Linked DNA regions of Tribolium castaneum. The protein of the gene in region 1 interacts with the protein of each later gene in a pairwise test. Links are inferred from orthologs where the notes say so. Each region holds a gene or a part of one and is shown in the gene's direction. Other genes may lie near its edges. The genes, in order: Galphao and RapGAP1.

What was found.
Region 2: the proteins of Galphao (region 1) and RapGAP1 interact in a two-hybrid assay, tested with the Caenorhabditis elegans proteins (2 studies listed by BioGRID). The link is inferred for Tribolium castaneum from reciprocal best matches to the Caenorhabditis elegans genes goa-1 and F53A10.2.

What each region holds. Positions count from the first base shown.
Region 1 is NC_087396.1:19,006,571-19,010,400, forward strand, and holds part of Galphao (guanine nucleotide-binding protein G(o) subunit alpha), read left to right. Parts: intron 1-1,288; coding exon 1,289-1,449; intron 1,450-1,505; coding exon 1,506-1,634; intron 1,635-1,955; coding exon 1,956-2,085; intron 2,086-3,830. UniProt on the Caenorhabditis elegans protein: Guanine nucleotide-binding proteins (G proteins) are involved as modulators or transducers in various transmembrane signaling systems. In the 1-cell embryo, probably together with gpa-16, controls nuclear rotation and spindle elongation during mitosis.
Region 2 is NC_087399.1:7,382,809-7,386,638, reverse strand, and holds part of RapGAP1 (rap1 GTPase-activating protein 1), read left to right. Parts: intron 1-2,964; coding exon 2,965-3,665; intron 3,666-3,830.

The sequences.
Region 1 (3,830 bases):
AATAGTATAAAAAACTCGTTTCATAAGACCTTAGAGCACTTATTCTTTCAAAAACTGAATTCGTGCTTTGGTCTTATGAAACTAGTTTTTTAATATACTATTATTTAACTAGTTTGAGTGTAAATCGGACGTTTTATTTCACGAATGAATTATCAAACCACGAGTCAAAATGAGTGGTTTATCATCTACGAGATGAAATGAGTGAACCGATTTACAAGAAAAAGAGTCGAATACGACATTTTATTCTTCGAATTAGACTCAACAAGGCTTAAAATTGCTTTAAATCTGTTAAAATATTCTGACGTTTCGTGTCGAGAAATGCCAAACAGTTATCAAAACTGTTTTACACAGGAGAAAAACCGGAAATTTTGACAGTATCGATGAATAAATAATTTATAACAGCTAATTTTGAGAGAAAATGCGACGTTGGCGTTTTTATAGCTTTGAAACAGCTAATATTTTGTTTTTACGGAAAGGAAAGCAAAATTATCAGCAGAACTTATCGTTTATTCAATGAGAAATGTTTCTTTGTTAAACTCTACAAAAATATCTGTGGCTAGTAAGGAATTTCCGACATTGTCAAAAGTCAAAGTAAATAAATCAACATAACTTGAAAATTGTCATAAATGGATATTAATAGATATCTGAAGTAGTAAAATAAAAATTGAGGCATTCCATTTGAAAAAATTGCCTTATAGCTTGTTGAAGTTGTGCAAAAATAACATTAAAATTTTGGAGTTCGTAAACTTTTTTTCTAATTTTGAACACACTGAAGGAAAGATATAGGCTTTCTGTTTTGATTTTTCGAAAACGTTTTTTAAAATTCTAAAAATAGCAGAATTGACGATTTTTTAAGTGAAAGGTGCAAAAACAAAAATTTACAAAGATTTTTAAATATTTCGAAAAACGCTAAATTTAGTTATTGGAAAATCTGACGAAAGTAAAAAACATATCTTTAAAATAAGAAAGTTAATACGGACTTCCAACGGCTTAGGGTGTGCACCAATTTTCAGATTTATATAATTATCAGAACTTTCTGTACTTCTAATGTACGGTTCAGACGGAACAGTCTGTATAGTAACAAACAAATCTGTGTTACTAACTTCGTTTACTGGAGTATTATAGCAAGCTTTTTTTTGTTTCGGGTTAATGTTAAACGAGACCACTTGCGGATTAAGTCAAAGTTTATTTTAAAGTGCACGTTCATTCACCGTAGCCAAAAAGGGCAGGCTTCAATGACCTTGTTACCTGTTGCTGATCGAATATAAAATGTGAATTTCGCCAACAGATCGATGGTAAAATGGTTTTCGACGTTATCCAAAGGATGGAAGACACGGAACCTTTTTCCGAAGAACTCCTCGCCGCCATGAAGCGGTTATGGGCTGATTCGGGGGTTCAAGAATGTTTCGGTCGTTCCAACGAATACCAACTGAACGATTCCGCTAAATAGTAAGCAAAAATCGACCATTCAGGGTAAGGTATTACCCACGACGTTTTTTTTCCAGTTTCCTGGACGATCTGGACCGATTAGGTGCCAAAGACTATCAACCTACGGAACAGGACATCCTCCGCACAAGAGTCAAAACGACGGGGATCGTCGAAGTGCATTTCTCGTTTAAAAACCTCAATTTCAAGTGAGTTTGTTGGCGATTTTTAATAAACACGAAAGTAAATGAAAAAAGTTTTTCCTTGTGTTTCTATTAATAAAGAGCTGAAAGAGCGAAGCCTATTTTATAAGTTGTCGTGGGTTTTCCCACGTAAAAACAACCGTTTGCAAAAGTTTCCATTGCACAAAGTCTTTTGAAATATTAAATGGCTACGTTTTTAGCATCTGCTGCAGCAACTCATTTCCAGAGCCTCTTTCATTGTGACTCACGGAATTAAATGTGCTTGAATTCAAAGAACCTTTTATGTGTCGCAGTGAAGTAAATACATCGTGTAATTTACTTTTACAGATTATTCGATGTGGGTGGTCAGAGGTCAGAAAGAAAGAAGTGGATTCACTGTTTCGAAGACGTGACGGCAATTATTTTCTGCGTAGCGATGAGCGAATATGATCAAGTCCTGCACGAGGATGAAACGACAGTGAGTATTCACAGAAAAAAGTTTTGGCGCCCTTATTTAATAAATAAAATAAATAAACACTATCTAATGTCACTCCAAAAAAGAAGCAAGTGGGTTATCAGAAAAGTTTGTAGTTTTAGTAACAAAGTACCAAAACTAAACGTTTCAAGGAAAATAACAAATAAAATTTATAACCACAATTTAAAAAAATCAAATTTTTACGTATACAACTTTGCTGATAAGTTCTTTAAACAATAATTTTTAGTAAAATTAGAACATATTGTAGATGTCTGTACTAAACAAACTAATATCTGTGCTAATTTTCCAAATTATGAAAAAAATGGGTCCCAAATTAAATAAAAAAGTTGAATATAATCCATTTTTTTTAAATCGCCAGCAGCGTCATAAAGAAAAATTCTACACCGGCTGCCGTTGTTTAAAAATTACCCTGTATTTGTGTTCTGAACTCAGTTTAGTAAATTCACCAATTAATTTTGCAGTGTCTCTTTTATCTTTTTTTTTTCATTTTTTGTTGATTCACTGTTTATCTTTCTTCTCACATCACAATTATATATTTTGAAATATATTTTCAACTAATTCACTATGCGCGCAAAAATAAATAGTACTTGCTTTTACCTAACAACGAATTTTTATAAGCAGGTGAAATTAAAATGCGCGAAACCCTGTAGTTGCGGAACCAAATTTTATTTAGTAATTAAAAACTTTAGGTGTAAATGAAAGTTTCATATTGTATAAGTAGGTACTAAGTAGTTTGATTTTTTTGTGTTTTTTAGTGATTACTAAGAGAGGACACAAAAACCTTTCGTCGCATTTTATTAAATGACGAATTTTGGATTGCAATGCAAAAGACTACATTTTGGATTGGCGAAGATTTTTGCAGAAGTTTTTGATTTAAAGTTCATTTAGGGTCGGTTTATAGAAAGTTTTGTTAAAATTTAATTCGCTGTTAAAAGTTAACAACACGAATGGACCAATCAAATTTGTTCAATTTGGTCACATGATCAATTAATCACGCATTTATTTGCAGATTAAATTAATGGCGCTTTTATAAACTAACCATAAGTGTCAGAAGTTAGTAAGCGTTTTCAAAGTTGCAAAATGAGATTTGCAATTTGAACAACGATAATTGCTGAATGGTTTATTTAATGAGGGGAACTGACAACGGTTTTTTTATAGACCGACATGTGAAACAGTTCTAGTAATTTTAAAAAAGATATTAAAATGATAATAGAATTTCGGTTTTTGTTTTATTTTGAAAAAAATGCCATTAAACAAATTAAAGTGTATTACACAAAAATACAGACTAGGTACCGACAGCAATTTTAGAAAATGTTGAATGTGAAAGCATTAGTCATATGAAGACCATCCTCGAAATATATAATACTTATAGATTTCTTTATCATTTTTCAATTTTTAATAAAAAAGAGTGACGAAAATGCAGACAAATCATAGACAAATTAAATAAGAATGTCTTGTTGCACAGCATTTGATGAAGAAACTGAAAATGTATTACTGTGCTAATTTTGAAAGTAAAGCTGAAGATTAATTTAGATTTCAAATTAATTACAGAAAATTTAAACCCAACAACTTTTTTCGGTATATAAACTTTTTTTTCATTAAAATTTATTCGTCTGTCAGTGAGTTTAATGATTGGACACATGGTATTGATATATCTATCCTCAGGTATTTGATAAGCACGCGTTCAAAGGACAGTCTAAATTTAAACAAAACTTTAAAAGTAAAAC
Region 2 (3,830 bases), on another chromosome or scaffold:
CCAAGGAAAAAACCATCGCACTTTCACTATTCGTGGGTGTGTTCTCCTATATTATCTCTTTAAACCCGTCATTGTCTACGTCCAAGTTAACAACTTGCCGTTCCCGCCCCAACAAATCCATCATTTGGTAAAAAACGCTGAGCGTTTTCACACCCAATCCCAATTATAAATTTCCACGGGGGTGTCGCAGCATCGCGACTTGACAAGAAACCGCGTCATTGTTCCTCATAATTCTACCAACAATAGACTCACAATAATAAGAACTAGGCGTGGGCGCGAAAGTCTCTCGGAAAAATAACAACGGCAAGAGGCGCCCAACCTCAAGCACAAGTTTTATCACAAGACTACGGAGGGCTGTGGGTTAGGAGGCGAAACGGGACACAAAATCGCACAATTTTCCGTACCCAAAAATATTAAATTAAATAATTACTCGGAAAAAGGTACAGAAAATTACACGAGAAACATGAGAAAAAATATTTACTTCAAATTTGCGCTTTATTCTATACAGGGTGATTCTTTTATGGCCTACATTAGAAACTTTTTAATTTCTAATAAAACTAGGGCTTTAAAATTTTGTATACGATCCAAATCTATCATTCCGAGTTCAATTAAATTATTTTCAAAATGGCTGAGCTTCAGGAACTACTAAAAATTTATTTACCAAAAAAAAATTCATAACTCAAAAACTAAAAGTCGTAGAGCAATGCGGTTTGTTCCATTGAATTCAGCGGCTCATTTTGCGTATAAAACCATTTTTTAACAAGATGTAAACTTTTAAAGTTTTTTTGCTAAAAATGAAGATAGGCAATATCTATAGTGAAAAATTTTATTTACGAAAAAAAATTCATAACTTAAAAACTAAAAGTCGTAGAGCAATGCGGTTTGTTCCATTGAATTCAGCGGCTCATTTTGCGTATTAAACCATTTTTTAACAAGATGTAAACTTTTAAAGTTTTTTTGCTAAAAATGAAGATAGGCAATATCTATAGTGAAAAATTTTATTTACGAAAAAAAATTCATAACTTAAAAACTAAAAGTCGTAGAGCAATGCGGTTTGTTCCATTGAATTCAGCGGCTCATCTGCGTATAAAACCATTTTTTAACAAGATGTAAACTTTTAAAGTTTTTTTGCTAAAAATGAAGATAGGCAATATCTATAGTGAAAAATTTTATTTACCAAAAAAATTCATAACCCAAAAACTAAAAATCGAAGAGCAATGCGGTTTGTTCCATTGAATTCAGCGGCTCATTTTGCGTATAAAACCATCTATTAACAGGATGTAAACTTTTAAAGTTTTTTGTTAAAAATTAAGATAGGCAATATCTATAGCGAAAAATTTTATTTACCAAAAAAAAATTCATAACTCAAAAACTAAAAGTCGTAGAGCAATACGGTTTGTTCCATTGAATTCAGCGGCTCATTTTGCGTATAAAACCGTTTTTTAACAAGATGTAAACTTTTAAAGTTTTTTGCTAAAAATTAAGATAGGCAATATCTATAGTGAAAAATTTTATTTACCAAAAAAAATTCATAACTCAAAAAATAAAAGTCGTAGAGCAATGCGGTTTGTTCCATTGAATTCAGCGGCTCATTTTGTGTATAAAACCATTTTTTAACAAGATGTAAACTTTTAAAGTTTTTTGCTAAAAATTAAGATAGGCAATATCTATCTATAATGAAAAATTTTATTTACCAAAAAAAATTCATAACTCAAAAACTAAAAGTCGTAGAGCAATGCGGTTTGTTCCATTGAATTCAGCGGCTCATTTTGCGTATAAAACCATTTTTTAACAAGATGTAAACTTTTAAAGTTTTTTGCTAAAAATTGAGATAGGCAATATGTATAGTGAAAAATTTTATTTACCAAAAAAAATTCATAACTTAAAAACTAAAAGTCATAGAACAATGCGGTTTGTTTCATTGAATTCAGCGGCTCATTTTGCGTATAAAACCGTCTTTTAACAAGATGTAAACTTTTAAAGTTTTTTGCTAAAAATTAAGATAGGCAATATCTATAGTGAAAAATTTTATTTACCAAAAAAATTCATAACTCAAAAACTAAAAATCGAAGAGCAATGCGGTTTGTTCCATTGAATTCAGCGGCTCATTTTGCGTATAAAACCATCTTTTAACAAGATGTAAACTTTTAAAGTTTTTTGCTAAAAATTGAGATAGGCAATATCTATAGTGAAAAATTTTATTTAAAAAAAAAATTCATAACTCAAAAACTAAAAGTCATAGAACAATGCGGTTTGTTTCATTGAATTCAGCGGCTCATTTTGCGTATAAAAACCGTCTTTTAACAAGATGTAAACTTTTAAAGTTTTTTGCTAAAAATTAAGATAGGCAATATCTATAATGAAAAATTTTATTTACCAAAAAATTCATAACTCCAAAACTAAAAATCGAAGAGCAATGCGGTTTGTTCCATTGAATTCAGCGGCTCATTTTGCGTATAAAACCATTTTTTAACAAGATGTAAACGTTTAAAGTTTTTTGCTAAAAATTAAGATAGGCAATATCTATAACGAAAAATTTTATTTACCAAAAAAAATTCATAACTCAAAAACTAAAAGTCGTAGAGCAATGCGGTTTGTTCCATTGAATTCAGCGGCTCATTTTGCGTATAAAACCATCTTTAAAAATATGGAGCAGTGACCAAATTGGTAAAAGTTTGAAATTTTTTTAAACATAGTTTACGATATTTATTATATTTATGTCTTCCTATCGAGAATTTAATACTCTATCTGCCTGTATTTTTTGTTTGTTATGTGTTAACCGTTATACAAATACAACTATTTCTTCTGAAAAATTAGGCGGTAATGCAACAATTGCGCTCTCTGGCGTAATTACCGTAACTATTGAGGACGGGGACGTTTTAATTGGACGCCGTTTCGTATCCTAACCTTTAGTAACCCGTACACTAGCCGTAATAAAATTTTTCAATTGTCCAAAAATTCCAGGAGCACACATCCCTGATCGGCAACGACGAGACCTTGGGCCCTGTCCTCCTGTCGATAAAAACCGAGAACGTGGCCAACCAGGAGCACACCCGGATCCTCCTCCGGATGCGCACCGGGACCATGCACGAGATCGTGCCCTCCTCCTGTCTCGGCGACAGCCCCAGCCCGGCCCGCATGGCGAAACTCCTCAACGAACAGCTCAACATCGACAACTTCGTCCCGGTGTTGCACCCGAAAGCTTCCCAACTCATCGCCAACTACGACGAGCATGTCCTCGTTACGAACTTCAAATTCGGCGTCATGTACCAGAAGTTCGGGCAGACGACGGAAGAGGAGCTGTTCTGTAATAACATCACCAGTCCCGCCTTTGACGATTTCCTTGCGCTGCTCGGGCAGAGGATACAGCTCAAGGATCACAAGGGATACAGAGGCGGCCTGGACATCCAGAACGGGCACACGGGGGATCAAGCGGTTTACGAAGTGTTCAAAGACCGCGAAATCATGTTTCATGTCTCCACCTTGCTGCCCTACACGGAAAGCGACCCCCAACAGTTGCAGCGGAAGAGGCACATAGGCAACGACATCGTGGCGATCGTTTTCCAAGAGGAGAACACGCCCTTTTCGCCAGATATGATAGCGTCGCACTTCTTGCACGCGTTCATCGTAGTGCAGGTGGTCGAGCCCAACACGCCCAACACAAGGTAAGCACACTTATTTTCAATTTTTTTGCAAAAATCGCGAAAAACAACATTTTTTGGTCCTTCGAGCCGGATCCTTAGTATTAGTTAGAATGTCTGGTAACCATTGATTTGAACCCTTTAAATGTGACGTTTTTATTCGTTTGTTCGCAAAAATCTCGAAAAACA